4 linked regions of the Arabidopsis thaliana genome follow. The protein of the gene in region 4 purifies or fractionates together with the protein of the main gene of each other region. This does not show direct contact. Each region holds a gene or a part of one and is shown on either strand. Other genes may lie near its edges.

Region 1 (3,354 bases), on a different chromosome or scaffold from region 4:
ATTGGTTCGAAAAATATAATAGTACAATTAAACTTTAAAGCCCACTAAGACCCAAGTAAATAGACTATCACGGCTAAACTCAACACACTGATTTTGTTTTTGGGCCCAAAAGCCCATTATGTTTTGGATATTCGGATGGGCTATATTATAAAGGATTCAGTCCAATGTTTGAAATTAGTTGATTTGGTCTATGACTATCAAACAAAGATTACAAATTGTAATTGTCATTACTCATTAGTTTTGGTTTAGTACAGCCTCGATAATTTATTCAGATTTGGCACTCCACCAAAATCTATTTTAATAAAATCAACAATGTAGTCGGTTTGTTAGTTTTTTTTTTCTTTGACGCTTTGTTTTGATAATACTATAATAGTAATTAGTAAGGGGAAAGAAAAAATAAAACAAATCGATTGTTTTAGATTTTGGATTGGATTTTCTTGGTACTGGTTTAATTCGGTTTACTAGACTTATCATCGCAATGAAGATCTAAAAAATTGAAGCTAATGCAACGTATTACGCATGCTTAACCACCCCAACCGAATTTTCAAGTAAATATTTGTATTATTTTGATGACATTATCTTAAAGATTTCCGAAACAAGGAAGAAACAGAACATGAAACAGAGCAGAAACAGCAACACAAACAGAAACATAAAAACATATCAGCGTAGAATCTATTCGATTTCGATCCCAAGTTTTTTCCTTAGCTCAGGAACGAACTTAATGATCTTCTCCGAATCAGGAAGAGACTTAGCCACACTCTCTCTCTCCACACACCTTTTACCCCAAGCAATCAGTTTTGGACACTCGGCTTCAATGCTGAAACTCCCAAACTTCTCATACGCTTCAAACCAACTGTAAAATCCAATGAGAGCTATATCAACATAACCGAATGTTTCACCTCCAAAGTAAGTCTTGTCTCCAAGCTCAGACTCTAGTGTCTTGAGTATCTCGATGAACTCCTTCTTCCCCGCCTCATGCTCTTCGCCTTTAGCTCCCCAAATCAACCTCGCTGAAGCATACACCTAAGCACATTATACGAAATATTAACGTCTATGTCTTGCCTAAGAAGGGTTTGATTTTTAAGCTTATTTTTGGAAGATAGATTACCTTCTTATCAATGAAATCTCCCCAAAATTTGGCCTGAGCTCTTTGGTAAGGATCAGAAGGAAGAAGTGGGGTTTTGCTAGGCCAAACTTCGTCGATGTATTCGATCTGGATGAGTGATTCACATACCGGATTACCATTGTGGATGAGAACCGGTATTTTCTTATGAACCGGATTCATCTCGAGGAGAATCGGGCTTTTGTTCCACAGATCTTGTTCTCTGTAATCGAATTTGACATTTTTCTCTTCTAAAGCAATCCTCGTCCTCATTCCAAACATGCTCGGCCAGAAATCAAGAAGAATCACCTCGTCTGCCATTGCTGTTCTTGATTAAGCTCACTAAGATATTTTTGTTTGTTTGTTTTGTGTCTAAGTATATTATGGTGAAGAGAACAAGGTTTTGGTCAATTTATAGAGGAGACAATAACTCAAAACTACAAACGAAATCGCATTTGCTTGCCGCTAAAGTCAGAAATGCATTAACGTGCCCATTACACTAAATCTCATCGCACTAAAGCATTTTAATATGAAGGGAATAAACTTTTGATTAAACATTTTCTTTTCATTAGCTTTAGTTTAAAAGTCGTCAGAGATTATTTAGCTTCAATACTTTGTGTTATTGAATATGAGTATATCAACTATCAAGGGGTTATACATACCAAAAAAAAACTATCAAGGGGGTTTGTAATTTATATGTTGAAATTTCATGTTGATTTCTTCTCGTGTAAAGTTTCTCGTACTTTATATTAAAATGTGGAATTAATAAATATTTTGGTGTAAAATTTATGTGACAAATTTTAAATCAGAAAGCTTAAACCTAGAGATTGGTAACGAGTAGTATACAATTATTTAGTTGAACAACTCATTTATTAATGTTTTGCGGTTCAAGACATTGACCACATGATTCACAGAGTTGAATTGATTATGCCACTGCTTACGCCATCATACCTTTTTACCTTCACTTTTTCCAAACTTTTTATTGGTTACTTTTCTTTGGTTAGGACTATATTTACTTTAAGGATGACGAAAAAAAAACAAAAAAACAAATTTTAGCTGTCTGAAACCTAATAAAATTGATTAATATACAATTATACATACCTCTTTTTTAAAAATATAGAGTATATGCATATCTCATTATATGTGTTTGGCATCCATTTCCCATTTCACATTGTCCCCATTCTTGTATCTTTTGTGCATCTAACGACAAAAATAAAATAACCAATAAACGATTAAACAAATAAACGGTGTAGAATGAGTTTGCATGGTAAGATATAATAACTATTTGCTTTTAACATTTTTTCCAATACTTCAAAAATCAAATGATTAAATGACTTATCTTTGGGCCAAATATCCAACGATTTTTAGATGTGTCTGGTTAAAAAGTTCTTAATCGGGGTTTGCTAATCGGTTTAGTTTCACTTCAGTTTTTTTTTCTTTGGCTCAAAGTTTTCACTTAGTTTGTTTCATTCTTGTATTCTTCTTTTCGACCGGTTTAGCATTTCTCCTGGTTATTTAACTAAGTTAATCATATTTTTTGAATCACGATCGTCAAATCTTGTTCACATGTGAGGTTATTCATTGAATCAACGAATTTAATCTTTATCATATATTTACGTCGATTTTGGTATTAGAGCAAGCGCCGTTATGGCAACCAGATTAATGTACCAACAATTCTCCATTGAATGAACATCACAACAAAGTTTCTTTTATTGAAATCGAGTTTACATAAAGGGAAATATAATCTCACAAATTGAAATTGGTATTATTATGCATTACATAGACCTCAAAGAAAATAGAACAAAGCAACAACAGATCAACATAACAAAGTAGAGATTTACTCCAACCCAAGTTTCTTCCTACGTTCGGAAATGAATGTAATGACCTTCTCTGACTCAGGCAGGGCTTTAGCGACGCTCTCTCTCTCCAAACACCTTTTGGCCCACGCAACCAATTTCGAACACTCAGATTCGATACTGACATTTCCAAACTTCTCGTACACTGCAAACCAGCTATGGAATCCAATGAGAGCTATATCTACATACCCAAAAGTTTCGTCTCCAAAGTACTTTTTGTCTCCAAGCTCAGACTCTAGCGTCTTGAGTATTTCGATTAACTCCTTGGCTGCTTCTTGCTCCTCACCTTTGACCGCCCAAATCCTTCTCGCCGTAACATTCACCTGATCCGTTGGTAAAAACAAAAAACTTACACAAGAGACTCTAGCGGAAGAAACCGAACCAAACCAATCCAAA
Region 2 (6,607 bases), on a different chromosome or scaffold from region 4:
CAGGAAGATGTAACACATGTCAACACTCGTGTTGCAGGAACCAAGTATGCTCTCTCTATTGTTTACCCTTAAAAAGCTCATTTACATATCTTCTTGTGTCATTTGAACTCTTTTTGTTTGTTGGTGTTTCATGGTAGAATGTTATTTAACGTCCATTGCTTCTTCTTTTCTTATGCGCAGTGGTTATATGGCGCCAGAGTACGTAATGCACGGGGTTCTATCGGTAAAGGCAGACGTATTCAGCTTTGGGGTTTTGGTTCTGGAGCTCGTAAGTGGACAGAAGAACTCGAGTTTTAGCATGAGACACCCTGACCAGACTCTTCTTGAATGGGTAAAGCCTCTAGTCTCATGCTCCATTGTTTATAGGGTTGTTGTGTGATGGCCTGACCCAGCCAATATTCTTCAGCGTAATATAACCAATGCTAAATTCTTTCTGAATGTGACACAGGCATTTAAGTTGTACAAGAAAGGCCGGACCATGGAGATACTAGACCAAGATATAGCAGCTTCAGCTGATCCAGATCAAGTCAAACTCTGTGTACAGATCGGACTACTCTGCGTTCAAGGCGATCCGCATCAAAGACCGAGCATGAGACGGGTATCTCTACTTCTCTCTAGAAAACCAGGACATCTAGAAGAACCGGATCATCCTGGTGTCCCGGGATCTAGATACCGTCGGCGAACACAACGTCCTTCAGGAGCAGCATCACTTGGAACATTGTCGACCACTGGTTCCAGCACAGATTCTTTCGGTTCAAACCTGAACACAAACACGGGAACTGGTGTTAGAGGTACCCCCGCATCTTCTAAAGCTTCAACTCGGAGTAATGCCACTAGAAGTGCTGGTCAGAGCTCTAGCTCAGACCCTCACGGGAAACGACATATGAGTTATTGAAGTACATAAAATCTGGTCATAGGTGATTGTAAATAGCGAGCTGCATATATAATATTTGTTTCATAATTTATTTAATTTTGCTTTTGAAAAGTAAATTAATTTATTTTTTTGACTGCAGTAGTGATTTAGTTTTGTAGTATGATTTGTTATATTAGCGGGAAAAAATTATGATTCATTTGTTACATTTGTATATTAGAATAATCACTTGTAGTCCCATTATCTAGGTCCCCACTATTGGCCTCGTACGTATAAAAGCATATTCTCTTGTACGTATTAACGGTACCTTACTTTAAACAAAACATAAAACTAAAATGTTTTTTATGCGTTTTAAATTATTTTTCAGTTAAAATTTATAAAAAGGGTTTTTGTAAACAATTATTTTGATAGTAAAAGAAATACTAACTGAAATTAGTGGAGAAAATACACAAACATATATTTAACTTTCTTTAATTTAAAATATACAGATTTTGTTTCTTTAATTTTTTTTTTCAAATTTTAGTTTTCATTTATTTTTAAATAAAGTATGACATGTCATAATGTTGTATTTTGATTTGTCATTAAAAAGGGGGTGAATCAAATTGGTTCACTCTAGAGGTGAACTTCGCCAAAGAATCACAGACCGTCAGTGTTAATCATCAGAGACATCAACGTAATGTTCCTCTTGGTTACTTCTTGCTTTAATGTTCCTCTTGGTTACTTCTTGCTTTCTACCTGATTCAGGTTCTTCAGTTAAAGTTTCTCTTTTCATTTTTGGGGTAATGCCCGGTTGGGCCTCGTTGTTTTATTTAGGTTCTAGTTCTAGGGCCTGCGTGTCCTTTTAGGCAGTTATTGCCATGTATGTTCTTTGGGCCATTCGTGCCTCTGTCGGCTTGTTGGGCCTTGTAATCGTTTCGGCTCTATTGGAAATTAAAAATAAAATATATATACTAACCCGTTTTGGGTAAAAAGTTAGGTCCACTAAAAGACGAAAAGAGATCCTACCAAAAAAAAAAACGAAAAGAGACGAGCCACACGCGTCACCTTCTCGTTTAGCCTCTTCATCTCCTTTCCTCAGACTCACTGTGTAAAAAGGCTTTTATTTTATCATCTTCAGGCTTATTCGATTTTCTTCAGATTTGAAATGGTGTCGTTCAAGGTCTCTCTCGTCTCTACTTCGCCTATTGATGGCCAGAAACCTGGGACTTCTGGACTCCGTAAGAAGGTTCGTTCGCTTTCGCTTCTTCTCCTTGTTATATCAATCCCCGCGTTCTTATTTCGAAATTGGATTAGAGATTTGAATTCTAAATTCAGATCTTCGCAACGAAATTGATTTCTTCATTTAGTTCCGATCTTATGGATTGAATGAATTTTGTGTGTTGGTTTTAACAATTTGATCCGATCCGATGAGATTTGAATTTACGCATTGTTTCGTAATTTTACAGGTGAAAGTGTTTAAGCAACCAAATTACCTTGAAAATTTTGTCCAGGCAACGTTCAATGCTCTTACTACAGAGAAAGTTAAAGGTAAAGATCTCTCTTACCTCTCTTTGATTGTTGTTCAGGTAAAGGTCGATGATTGCAAATTCCATCTAAGAAAGAGTATTTGTTAACTTTTTCAGGTGCGACACTTGTGGTTTCTGGTGATGGTCGTTATTATTCAGAGCAAGCTATTCAGGTAAAAGCTTTATATGTCCTTTGAATGATGGCAAACTGCGTTTTGCATTAACTTATAATTCTTAGACACTTTACTCTTATTTTAGTTGTTTTGAATCTTTTATTTCATAAAAAAGATAGTTCGTCAATACCACTTTATTTCCTATCTGGACAGATTATAGTAAAGATGGCAGCAGCTAATGGTGTTAGACGTGTGTGGGTTGGTCAAAACAGTCTGCTATCAACTCCTGCAGTATCAGCTATTATTCGTGAAAGAGTAGGGGCTGATGTGAGATATCTTCCTCTAAACTCATACTACTTACTTTTCTCTTGGGTTGTTATCTAAGGCTATGCATGTTTGCAACATGTAATGACGTGATGAGAAACTAACCCGAGATCCAATTTCAGGGATCTAAAGCCACAGGAGCATTTATCTTAACAGCAAGTCATAATCCTGGTGGCCCAACTGAGGTCAGTTCTCTTTTTGTTCTCACTCTTTTGTGCTTGTTCATTCGATACCCTCACTTAGTATTATTTGAATCCTAGCATCAGTTTTGTTAAACTATATGTTCATCTCTCTGCTTCCATATGCTGATTTCCTGCTATTCTATTCACAGGATTTCGGAATTAAGTACAATATGGAAAATGGTGGACCAGCTCCTGAATCAATCACTGATAAGATTTACGAGAACACAAAGACAATCAAGGAGTACCCAATAGCGGAAGATCTACCCAGGGTACCTAACATTTCTGATCTTATTACCTGTCATCATCTTTTTTTCATCTTGTATTTGTACTAATCATGTTTTTTTGCTGGTCTTTTTGATTGAATGCAACAGGTTGATATTTCTACTATTGGTATAACCAGCTTTGAAGGACCTGAAGGAAAGTTTGACGTCGAAGTTTTTGATTCTGCAGATGACTATGTTAAACTAATGAAGTAAGTCTTTCCATCTTTGTATCTGAGAGAACAGTTCTTGAATCTACTCCCTCTATGGTCTATGCATTTAAGAGAATGGTTCCAGAATCTGCGGTATCGATGATCTAAAAGATTTGTTCGTCTCTTCAGGTCAATCTTCGACTTTGAATCCATCAAGAAATTGCTATCTTATCCAAAATTTACTTTCTGGTATATAGTTCATCAACATCCATAAATCTTTTCTTTTGAGTTTGTTTGCTTGTATAGGCTCCATCATGTCTTTGATATTTTATTTCCCATCGTTCTATGAAGCTATGATGCATTGCATGGAGTGGCTGGAGCATATGCACATCGCATCTTTGTCGAAGAACTAGGTGCACCAGAAAGTTCGTTGTTGAACTGCGTACCCAAGGTATCATTTTTTTCTTCTTTCTTATTTTGTATAACCAAGAAATATCATTTCCTGAAAGGATTATAAATACACGTTGAACAGTGTCTTTTATGATTTATAACAACACGACAATCGGACAATGTACAGGAGGACTTTGGAGGGGGCCACCCGGATCCCAATCTTACCTATGCTAAGGAGCTCGTGGCACGCATGGGATTGAGTAAAACTGATGATGCTGGTGGCGAGCCTCCAGAGTTTGGCGCCGCTGCTGATGGTGATGCAGACCGAAACATGATCCTCGGTAAAAGGTAGCAGAGACTAATTCTCTTTTAAGTGAGATCACAGAGATGTGGAGCGGATATACCACTCTCCCCGTTAACCAAAAATATCTCTTCTCCGCAGGTTTTTCGTAACTCCTTCGGATTCAGTTGCTATAATTGCTGCAAATGCTGTTGGGGCCATACCATACTTCAGCTCTGGTTTAAAAGGTGTTGCTAGGTATGCATCCCGGTTCTTCTTTGTTTACTCCAGTTCATAGATTGAAAACGCTGGACTTTGGTGTCATACGTTTTTGTTTATTATAGATAGTAACAATCTTTTCTCATTAAATTCTCAACTTTCACATTCGTATTGCAGGAGCATGCCGACCTCAGCTGCACTTGATGTCGTTGCAAAAAACTTGGGTTTGAAGTTCTTTGAGGTAGATGTCATTGTGAAGCTTTTCTCTAGCTTCTATTCATTGCAATCACGTAACATAGTCTATTGCTCTAATACTTCTATATTTTAGGTTCCAACAGGCTGGAAATTCTTTGGCAATCTAATGGATGCTGGGATGTGCTCTGTATGCGGAGAAGAAAGTTTTGGAACCGGTGAGCTTCTATTGCTAGATCTTCACATGTTTTAAAACCGTAACAACCCTACACAACTCACAAAGAAGCTTTTCGACAGGTTCGGATCATATCCGTGAGAAAGATGGGATCTGGGCAGTTCTTGCTTGGCTATCAATACTGGCTCACAAGAACAAGGAAACCCTTGATGGGAATGCAAAACTGGTGACGGTTGAAGACATTGTCCGCCAGCACTGGGCTACATATGGCCGTCACTATTACACTCGATACGACTATGAGGTAAAACTGACAAATGTCATTATTGGTTGTAGACAATATGTAGAATAACCAATTACCTTTGACCAATTTCTAAATATTTGCTCCATAGAACGTAGACGCAACTGCAGCTAAAGAACTCATGGGACTTTTGGTTAAGTTGCAATCTTCACTTCCCGAAGTCAACAAGTATCTCTCTCTCCACTTAATTTCAAATCCATTCCTTTTTACTTGTATGACTTTCAGACTCACGTTTTTGGATAATTGGTCAGGATTATAAAGGGAATTCATCCAGAGGTGGCAAATGTTGCAAGCGCAGATGAGTTCGAGTACAAAGATCCAGTAGATGGCTCTGTTTCAAAGCACCAAGGGATCCGATACTTATTCGAGGATGGATCACGACTTGTAAGTCGATATGTGTGAAATGGATTCATAACAATTCAACAACCTGTGAAATTGTAAAAGCTAATCCGGGCTTGTTTCTCTTGTTCATGAAGGTGTTCCGTCTCTCGGGAACTGGCTCAGAAGGAGCAACAATAAGGCTATACATTGAACAATACGAGAAGGACGCCTCAAAGATCGGCCGAGATTCTCAGGATGCTCTTGGTCCCCTGGTCAGATTCCCAGATACCTTAATTACTCCCAAATTTACGCATAATCGATCTTTGTCATGTTTATTAACACCAATTGTTGGTGTCTGATTTTCACAGGTTGATGTTGCATTAAAGCTGTCGAAAATGCAAGAGTTCACCGGCCGATCATCACCAACTGTTATTACATAAGACAGCTTTCAGAAGACGCTGTCTCCAATACTACTCTCATTCCAACTTCATTTCTTATGAATTTGGGTTTTGCTTTTTTCCTGTTATCTGTTATCTTACACAAGTATACTTCAATACATATAATTTTAATGGAATATACATTAGGTTGGCAATTGAATTTCTAGCTTTGTTTGGCTCCTCCAAATAAAAAAGAATTGCCACAATATTGGAGCATGTGTGGCAGATGGAGACGTAGCAAGAGTAAAAAGCGAATCCAACAATAACTGATACCTAAAACCTACGGTGTACAACTATAGATAATGGACCCGAGAGGTGGTGATGACAAGCCAGAAGACAGATGTTTATAATTTGTCTCTTGAGCTTGACCAACAAAAACATTCTGACAGTTAAAAGCTAATGTTGGGCATGAATTTCGTGAATCAGATTGTGCCATGTGTTAGTTTGTATAAGTGAGTCAGGGTTCACGGGTTCTTTCTTATTTGGTTTTTAAATCCAAAAGAAAGAGAGGCATCATTACCATCCAAACACTCCTCCCACTTTAGGCTTTCTTCCTCTGTCCTTTCTCCATATTTGTTGTCTTCTACTAAACTTTTGTCTCAACAATGACTGATGCTTTAGCTAACCATCAACATTGTAACATACAGTTGATGGTTAGCTATTTGCTATACATTTGTCTATTTCTCTTGCTTCTATAGTCAAAGTATAGAGTTAGCTCGTATAAAAAGATCAGCATTTAAGTATAAAAAAAATTAGAATGATTTTATGTATAGTATTGTCTAACTTTAGGTGAAATCACAACTGATTATAGAATCCTCGAAGAAAAATATTAAAAAATCAAAAGGCTTAATATTAGCATTTTCTTATGCAGAAATGCTTAATTAATCA
Region 3 (3,498 bases), on a different chromosome or scaffold from region 4:
TGCTTTGTAGACATCATCTTTGAGCTTTGTTTGGGTTCGACTGAGTTCTGACATAGCTTGGTGTTATGTTACTCTGTGCAATGTTTCAGCTGTATGATGCTCAGAGGAAGGTGTGGGCGACAAAGGGTGAGGAACAAGAGGCAGGGAAGAAGGATTTCATTGAGATACTCAAGACTCTTGAATCTGAGCTTGGAGACAAACCTTACTTTAGTGGCGATGACTTTGGCTATGTAGACATTGCGTTGATTGGATTCTACACATGGTTTCCAGCATACGAGAAGTTTGCTAACTTCAGTATCGAATCTGAGGTTCCGAAACTGATTGCTTGGGTTAAGAAGTGTTTGCAGAGGGAGAGCGTGGCTAAGTCCTTGCCTGATCCTGAGAAGGTTACTGAATTCGTCTCTGAGCTCAGGAAGAAATTTGTACCTGAGTAAATATGTTTCTCTTGTCATATGGTTCGGACTTAAGATGCTCTCTGTTTTACTTTCGTGTGTTGTCTTTCTTAAATAATGCAGAGCATCTGTGAGGTGGTTTGAGTGTAGAGAATGTATGTCTTTGCTGTAGCAGATTCCTGTGTTTTCTGGATTTAATGGCTTGTCCTAGTTTTTATGCATTGTAACTATGAGTTTAATTAATGATCGTTAATCTATAATGATTATTAATTTGTTACTTTGATATGTAATTACGCCAATACGACTCTTCTACCTGACCAAGCTTATCACGCCAATGTTGCTGTAAAAGACAATAGTGCAGTTTGGCGATTAAAACCTCCAACATCGAGAATGGTAAGCCGGTCTGGATCTAATAAGCCCAAATTGGCATCCATAAGCCCAAATTGAAATTGGCATCCATAACTCCATATTGTAGTCAATTGGAAGTTATGTGGTTGATGTGATCATTAGTGTCGGTATGATCAGATTAGCCACGGGTTTAGTGTTTCTTGCCGAATTTGAATTCGGTAGATCAAATAACATTACTATGATCCGCACAGTTCATGGGATTTGAATTTGATTTACGATTACAACAACGATATTAACACAGAACTATCCTGTAATTTTTGGGATCGATTAGTAAATTTTAAAATATTATTTCAAAGGCTTTATATATATAAAGAATTTAGAGTATAAACATAGATAAAGCATTATGTATTTATAAATCTTATGCTGATATTGAAAAAATAATGGTGTATGTGATATATTTAATAGAGTGCAATACTCTCTCAATAAATTAGTATAGCTGTTATCACTCCTTGTGTAAATGCGTATTTCTTGTACATGCATGGTAAGTAGCTTGTCCTCGTATGTACCGGATTGTAATGTTTGATATCAAATCAAGGGAATCACGTGGTAAATGTACACCCACCTAACTGAGAGATAATAATACAAACAACTGTGAGTAGGTGGCCACGCCAAAAGTAGAGACTGATGCAGCAACTAAGCAAAGTATTACTTCACTCGATCAACTTTTTATTTTGTTACCTTCTTATAAATCAAGTCGATTTCTATATTGTCAAGTACTAATTCCATTCTAATCTCTTACATATACGTTTAAGGTTTGAATCAGAGCAAAAGATAATCACACTCTTTTATATTAAGTGATGTTTTCACTAGTTGCACACATATGACAATTATTTAACAAAGTTGCAAAATACATTTTAAATCGTTACGGGTAAAAGCTTACTGTTTAAAAGATTTATATATGGACCATAATATGCTTTGAAAAAAGCTGATGTGACGTAACGGGAATCAAAATCCTTTCCACATCATTTTCTTCCCCTATAAAACAACCGTCACTCACTCCTTCTCTACTATAACACACACTCGCTTGTTCACGCACAACAAAAAGCAAGAATATATACCACTTTGTGAACTTCAGAGATCCTATAGCAATGGCGAACCTACCGATTCTTTTGGATTACTGGCCAAGTATGTTCGGGATGAGGGCTAGAGTTGCGTTGCGAGAGAAAGGTGTTGAGTTTGAATACAGAGAGGAAGATTTCTCGAACAAGAGCCCTTTACTCCTCCAGAGTAATCCCATTCACAAGAAAATCCCGGTTCTGGTCCACAACGGTAAACCGGTATGTGAATCTCTTAACGTTGTCCAGTACGTCGACGAGGCTTGGCCCGAGAAGAACCCGTTCTTCCCTTCCGATCCTTACGGGAGAGCTCAGGCTCGATTCTGGGCTGATTTCGTGGACAAGAAGGTAACTAATCCCTTTTGTGCCCTAGATTTCTTAACTTGAGTCTGAAACAATGTGATTTAGGGTTATCTGAAAAAATGAGTTTGGTTCCTTCTGACATAATTCGATGTTCTGTAATGGATTCAGTTCACCGACGCCCAATTCAAGGTATGGGGGAAGAAAGGTGAGGAACAAGAAGCAGGCAAGAAGGAATTTATTGAGGCAGTGAAGATTCTTGAATCTGAGCTAGGAGATAAACCTTACTTTGGTGGAGATAGCTTTGGGTATGTAGACATTTCCTTGATTACATTCTCGAGTTGGTTCCAAGCCTATGAGAAGTTTGGTAACTTTAGCATCGAGTCAGAGAGTCCGAAACTGATCGCTTGGGCAAAGCGGTGCATGGAGAAAGAGAGTGTGTCTAAGTCTCTCCCTGACTCTGAGAAGATTGTTGCATATGCTGCTGAGTATAGGAAGAACAATCTCTGATTTGAATAATCTTGTTGTTCTCTTGTTGCTAAGCTGTGTTCTGTTTTTGTCTTTGTTTTTTTTTTTCCCCTAATAATGCGAGAGAGCCTTAGTGAATGTGTGTTGTGGTTTTTATGCATCCTAAGTATGGAATTTAAATAAAATTTGTTTCGACTTAAAGAGTCCAAGTATGAAGTCACATCCTTTTCAAAAGAACAAACACAAGAAAAAGTTGGAATTCTTTTTTCTTTTTCTACTTGTCTAGTACCGCGTATACGAAAATAGTATAACACCCAGCAATTAATAAAGTAGATGGCCACGTTACAATCATGCAAGTAGTGGCTCTGCAAACATAAGATAAAAAGAAATTGGGTTCTCAGCCACTTTTGGGAGGACATGCAGACTAAAGCACTCTCTAAACTCCGCTTAGAGGGAAAACAAAAAGACACCTCTGATCTATTATCACTATTATTAGGGTTTTTTTGTTTGTTTTTCTTTTCTTTGCTTCTTAAGAGATAATACATTGATCACTAACATAAAAGCTGGTCAGTTCCCTTACTTTGAGGCTTTGAGTGGAGACTCCACTACGGTGTGGCTCACACCAACAGTTTTTCTCTGATTATCCTTTTGTCATCAACTCACCATTCACCGAATAATATAATTTATACGTGTGATCTTTGTTTCGAAGATCAATACAATTCTATTGTAAAACATATGGTTTCGGTCATTCGATTGCTAGAAAAGAACTAGTCAAAGCTTCATATCGTTATTGCATTACTGTCATCACCATTCATAAGTTGTAAGAAGAATAGCAAAGAGGAAAATTTGTATTTTTCATCACCAAAAGAAAGATT
Region 4 (5,314 bases):
CGAGCATGGACCACTCTACGTCTTTCTTTACCCTATAGGCTTGGTCCACGTGTCTTCTCCAAAGACGAAACCACTACACACTGTGGTGAATCTTGTAAGGCTTCTGCTGTTGTAACTGCATTTTGTCGTCCGGTCATTTATCATTCAACAATAACCACGGATCTTCAAATCATGTTGAGGCCGCTGACAAAAGTTTATATGTTATTTCATTTTCAAATCTTTTATATCCCACTTGTGCTTGTGGATGAACCTATCTGCATACTCTATATACTCTTTTCTTCTTCTCATCTAAAACAAATTACATTGCATATTACAAATCTTGATGTGTAGCAAAATATACCATGGCTATCTTTGACTTGACTTGAGTTATGTGATGAAACGTTTTGAGTAGGTGTGAACATTTGAAGAACCAGTTATAACAATTTTAGTTTAAGTAAGTACTCGATATTGAATATGATGGTTGTGGAATGAAGATATGAGTTGTTTTTTTCATAGACAATGACATTTACTGAGAAATTCACAAAAATAGTGTATATATTTTGATAAAAAAGTCAAATGCTATTCTGATTGCGAATCACAAGTCTACATTGTTATCAGAATGCATTGAAGTTTATAAACAACAAACACATGGCAAGTGGGTGGAGTTCACATTATCTAAGCAGAATTTACTTGCCTTTGTTCGATTTTAACTCAAAAGTTTGATTTTTATTCTTTTACATATCTCAGCAAAGTTGTGGAGAAATGACTGATCATGCATGAAGTTGTAAGTAACCAAATCGTGCTCAACTCGCAATATCTCTCAGATATACAGTTACTGCTGCGTTCATTTAGAGTCTAAGCGCTGTACGTCTACAAGCTGGTAAAGATCTCCCCGCCGCTGCCTATTCAATGGAAGGCTAGTCCTAAGATGGTAAAAAAAACGAGATTCAGTTAGCGGATCACGCTATCAAAAACCAAGAAAGTTCTGGTGTTTCCGTGATTACCTTCGTTGTTCAAGGATAGAGTAATCAATCTCTGCTATGATAATGGCCTCCTCATGCTCAGTCGTTGCTAGTACTTCTCCAAACTGTCAAATAATATATATGTTTCAAAGTTTAGTGATCAGCTAAAAGCTTCATTATCAATCAAGTAACACAGAAAAAGTTTAGTGCTTACAGGCCCAACGAGTGTTGAGTGCCCCCAAGCAGTGTAGCCAGCTCCTGAATCTCTGGCAGGTGAGCATGTCGCCACATATAACTGGAGAAAGTAGCATACATAGTTCTATTAACCGGTCCATGACTTTGATAACAGTCAATTAAGTAAAACTAACCCCAAAGAGCAGAAGATAATACTTGTATTGATAACTCAAAGAAAAATGCAGGTTTGCTATGAATTCATTAAGAAATGTCAGAACTTGTATCTCTCTTTTGGCTATCAATACAAGTATTTAACTTGGTTCATGTACCTGATTATCCGTAGCCCTGAAATGGAACAAAACAGATCGATGAGCATTGTGATTTACCCATGATTAAATAAGCCAAGAAAGTCGTAATGTAGTAGACTGTGAATCATACCTGGCCCTTTGTAGTAATTCCCAATGCAATGGTCCAGTTGTCATGTTAAAGGCTCCCGGGTAGCACAGCAAATGAGCCCCTGATATGATTAAAGTAAACATGTGGGTGATGAGGTTCTTTAAAACGTAATGGACCCGAAAAAGAGAGGAAGCAGATAGTCCATTTGGATAAAGCATTATGATATGAAGACTCACCTCTTGCAGCATATATCATAGCTAACTCCTGGAACCTGATATCATAACAGATGCCTATTCCAATACGCCCTACATCTGCAACAACCAACAAAACTATCATTCTCAAGCGCTGCACCGCGTTAAAGATTTCTCATAAGTACTAGAAAGTGAGAGGTGATGTGAACGGTCCTACTATGACTTGATTGTTCAATAAAGACATTTCCCCAGTCAAAATAGTTGGCAAGATCTTAAAAACATTATTATTCATAAACACTAGGCCAGCATGAAAATGAATCATTTCACTGTTGAGCTAAGAAGATCCCAAATCTGACTGGAAATTTAAATCCTTAATCCTAAATTATTATTTTTAGATAGTACCACAATGAGTTTATGTAAGATACATGATTGTTTATGCATGACCTGGAATTATATTTGGCAAACCAAGATTATAACCTGTGTCAACGATTGTTGGTGTCTCTCCAGCAGTAAGAGTTTTGGATTCCATAAAAGTAATCTTCCCGGGAATGTCTATATCAAATAAATGTATCTGTATGCACACACAAGTACAAACACAAATAAGTGCAAGCAATCAAAAACAAGATGTTCTGAGAATTGATAATATAAGCATAAAACGGTCAAGGCCATCTCGCCTCATAATTTGTCCTTATGAATCATAGAGGAAGAACTCGAACCAGAACATAACTACCACATCATTCTAATTACTGATTCTAAGTCTATTAGATCCTAAAAACAGATGATAAAAGATGAACAACGATTTTAGAAGTAAGATTAGCATCTTTCATTCTATGGCCTAAAGCAGAGGAAAGTTCATTATTTCTTCTATGAAAGTTTAATCTCAAAAAATCTAACCTTCCGATGCTTAGCTTTTAGCTCTCCATCGGAACCAAAGACACAGCAAGTGTTATACAAACGATCTCCAACTCTTTCTGGTATAGATCCACCAATGATTGTAATCTTGAGACGTTTGGAAACTTCAGAAAGCATTGCCGTTGAAGGAGAAGCATCACCACCTGCATCAATCTCCTCCGCATAAACTGGAAAACTATCATTGGAATACGGACTGTTCCAAATTTCCTGAAACAAACCCATTGAATGGTTTTAAACCCCATAGAGACGATACCACTAGCTCATACTTTTTGTAAATTTTACACATTTGAGCAACAGAACATTAGAATTGAACTCACAAAGAGCTATGAGCTAAGATACAAAGAAGAAAAACTCACGGGTAAGAGAACAAGCTTAGCTCCTTTAGAAGCAGCTTCTTCAATGGCTTTTTTAGCATGAGAGATGTTTCTCTTTTTGTCAGATGTAACAGATAGCTGACACAATCCGATGTTGAACTACAAAATTACCCATGGAACGAAGAAATCAATCAAAAGCTGAAATGATTGAAAACCCAAAGGTAAATGAAAAGAAAGGAGCTAACTTTGGTCAACGGAGGAGCTGGGAGAGGAAGAGCAGAGGGAACTCTAGCTTGTTCAGGGTTGAAAGAAGAAGCCATGGAAGAGGAAATGGATCTTAAAGCTGAGGTTGACGAAGATGGGAGCTTCAAGGTGTGACTAGTGATCGATCTCGGAGATAATTTAGGGAGGAAGTTAGATTTGAGAGAAATGAAGCGAGAAAGAGGATTAGGGTTTAAAAGATTCTTCGAATTGAAGAAGAGTGACGATGAAATTGCTGACTTCATTTCACTTTAGTCCGATGATCATATAGGTAGGTAGATGATATTGATACTTCACCTCACAAAAGCCATGACTCATGAATCCTCTGCGTTTGCGTTTCAACCGTATTGACGCGGTTCAATCAATTTTATACACTAAATTCGAATGAAATCGTACCAAACCGGATAAATTTAACATCCTTACTAAATCCAAAACAGAATACATATGGGCCTGAAAACGAATTGGTCTTGGGCCTGACCGAATCAATCGCTTTTCTCTACATTCGTCTAGAAATATCCATCTACACTTCTCCAACGATCAAGACGTTTCTCGAACGTTAGAGAAGCGCTTTTAAGTTCTATAACACCGAAACAATCGCTCTCTCTACATTGCTCTAGAACTATCCAACTCAACTTCTATTTAATACTTTCTTACATCAAAATCAAAATCAATCAAACCAAAGAAAAAGCCAAGAAGCAAGAAAGTTAACACAACAGCTAAGAATGGATTTGGAGTTTGGAAGGTTTCCAATATTTTCAATCCTCGAAGACATGCTTGAAGCCCCTGAAGAACAAACCGAGAAGACTCGTAACAACCCTTCAAGAGCTTACATGCGAGACGCAAAGGCAATGGCTGCTACACCAGCTGACGTTATCGAGCACCCGGATGCGTACGTTTTCGCCGTGGACATGCCTGGAATCAAAGGAGATGAGATTCAGGTCCAGATAGAGAACGAGAACGTGCTTGTGGTGAGTGGCAAAAGACAGAGGGACAACAAGGAGAATGAAGGTGTGAAGTTTGTGAGGATGGAGAGGAGGATGGGGAAGTTTATGAGGAAGTTTCAGTTACCTGATAATGCAGATTTGGAGAAGATCTCTGCGGCTTGTAATGACGGTGTGTTGAAAGTGACTATTCCGAAACTTCCTCCTCCTGAGCCAAAGAAACCAAAGACTATACAAGTTCAAGTCGCTTGAGTTTGTTTGTGATCGTGTTTTTGTGTTTTAATGAATGTAATCGATAAGCAACTACCTCTTGGTGTTCGTTGTAAAATGAAATAAAAATAGTTTTCTCTGTTCATATTTGTCTTTGTGTTCAATCTTCAAATCAATGAAGTTTTTGCTCTCTTGAACCATCCATGCTTATGAGGCAAAAATAGGACCACAACAAAAAAGACACCGAATGGTCATTCCTCTGTTTTTGCAGAAATTATTACTGTTCATCCTTTCCTAATATCATTGGTGCTATTTAGCACATTGGCCATCAAATCCACATTTGCATTTCACCCTTATCTCTGCAGTCAGCAAAATATATTTTTGGAGTTATGTCCCTTGAAGTAATTTATGGGTATGAGATCAGTAACACAGTGTTATTATATCTGCAAAAACTCTTACATATTCAATTTTATCCTTTAAGTATTAGATGAAAGGAAACAATTTTGTTATTCTGATTTTAAAATCCAAACAACTCTTTGTACTTTTTTCATGTTGGATAACGTAACTGAATCTTCAGCTACTACATCTGTAGTATAATACGAAGTCTGATATCTCAATCTGCTACATTATTTTTTAAATGAAATTTGCATTTGCGAATGCAAATAACATCAACTGAGTTTTAAGACAAATCAAGTTTTGTGCAGATTTGTAACCGTCTTTAATAGCTTATATTAATGTCGTTATACACGATTTAGTGGTATTCAGTGAGTTAGTGCTACCACATATATAGTATTTTTCTTTGGTCACTAAAATAAATATGGTCTTTCATTAATTTTTCTGACCAGAAACCAGAGCATATACTAATTTAGTCTTGTTTCCATCATTAAGACTTTGAACTTCTGATCTTGAGGTGCATGTTGTACACTTGTAATCCAAGTCTTCAGCAATTGTATGTACTTTCCAGTTGAATGTAT

Evidence for each region.
Region 1: the proteins of AT5G12040 (region 4) and GSTU25 fractionate together in Arabidopsis thaliana (co-fractionation; one large-scale study listed by BioGRID). This does not show direct contact.
Region 2: the proteins of AT5G12040 (region 4) and PGM2 fractionate together in Arabidopsis thaliana (co-fractionation; one large-scale study listed by BioGRID). This does not show direct contact.
Region 3: the proteins of AT5G12040 (region 4) and GSTU20 fractionate together in Arabidopsis thaliana (co-fractionation; one large-scale study listed by BioGRID). This does not show direct contact.

What each region holds. Positions count from the first base shown.
Region 1 is NC_003070.9:5,870,277-5,873,630, reverse strand, and holds GSTU25 (glutathione S-transferase TAU 25), read right to left. Parts: upstream 1,608-3,354; 5' UTR 1,424-1,607; coding exon 1,109-1,423; intron 1,024-1,108; coding exon 673-1,023; 3' UTR 507-672; downstream 1-506. Other genes in the region: GSTU24 (glutathione S-transferase TAU 24), read right to left, coding at 2,940-3,281. UniProt on the Arabidopsis thaliana protein: May be involved in the conjugation of reduced glutathione to a wide number of exogenous and endogenous hydrophobic electrophiles and have a detoxification role against certain herbicides.
Region 2 is NC_003070.9:26,668,135-26,674,741, reverse strand, and holds PGM2 (Phosphoglucomutase/phosphomannomutase family protein), read left to right. Parts: upstream 1-1,575; coding exon 1,576-1,650; intron 1,651-1,859; coding exon 1,860-2,096; intron 2,097-2,316; coding exon 2,317-2,398; intron 2,399-2,493; coding exon 2,494-2,549; intron 2,550-2,702; coding exon 2,703-2,816; intron 2,817-2,935; coding exon 2,936-2,998; intron 2,999-3,144; coding exon 3,145-3,264; intron 3,265-3,366; coding exon 3,367-3,467; intron 3,468-3,596; coding exon 3,597-3,656; intron 3,657-3,758; coding exon 3,759-3,858; intron 3,859-3,984; coding exon 3,985-4,145; intron 4,146-4,239; coding exon 4,240-4,335; intron 4,336-4,473; coding exon 4,474-4,537; intron 4,538-4,624; coding exon 4,625-4,706; intron 4,707-4,785; coding exon 4,786-4,964; intron 4,965-5,052; coding exon 5,053-5,129; intron 5,130-5,212; coding exon 5,213-5,345; intron 5,346-5,437; coding exon 5,438-5,554; intron 5,555-5,650; coding exon 5,651-5,722; 3' UTR 5,723-6,096; downstream 6,097-6,607. Other genes in the region: AT1G70740 (Protein kinase superfamily protein), read left to right, coding at 1-44, 181-367, 449-895. UniProt on the Arabidopsis thaliana protein: Catalyzes the reversible isomerization of alpha-D-glucose 1-phosphate to alpha-D-glucose 6-phosphate. The mechanism proceeds via the intermediate compound alpha-D-glucose 1,6-bisphosphate.
Region 3 is NC_003070.9:29,483,595-29,487,092, reverse strand, and holds GSTU20 (glutathione S-transferase TAU 20), read left to right. Parts: upstream 1-1,703; 5' UTR 1,704-1,888; coding exon 1,889-2,203; intron 2,204-2,326; coding exon 2,327-2,665; 3' UTR 2,666-2,973; downstream 2,974-3,498. Other genes in the region: GSTU19 (glutathione S-transferase TAU 19), read left to right, coding at 90-434. UniProt on the Arabidopsis thaliana protein: Exhibits glutathione-dependent thiol transferase activities. Can use glutathione (GSH) and 1-chloro-2,4-dinitrobenzene (CDNB) as substrates. Involved in the regulation of far-red light influence on development.
Region 4 is NC_003076.8:3,883,282-3,888,595, reverse strand, and holds AT5G12040 (Nitrilase/cyanide hydratase and apolipoprotein N-acyltransferase family protein), read right to left. Parts: upstream 3,648-5,314; 5' UTR 3,435-3,647; coding exon 3,174-3,434; intron 3,088-3,173; coding exon 2,971-3,087; intron 2,822-2,970; coding exon 2,597-2,821; intron 2,274-2,596; coding exon 2,180-2,273; intron 1,823-2,179; coding exon 1,748-1,822; intron 1,633-1,747; coding exon 1,554-1,632; intron 1,461-1,553; coding exon 1,445-1,460; coding exon of another isoform or gene 1,427-1,444; exon of another isoform or gene 1,237-1,426; coding exon 1,156-1,236; intron 1,067-1,155; coding exon 984-1,066; intron 903-983; coding exon 824-902; 3' UTR 519-823; downstream 1-518. Other genes in the region: HSP17.6A (heat shock protein 17.6A), read left to right, coding at 3,912-4,382. UniProt on the Arabidopsis thaliana protein: Omega-amidase involved in the metabolism of asparagine. Probably also closely coupled with glutamine transamination in the methionine salvage cycle.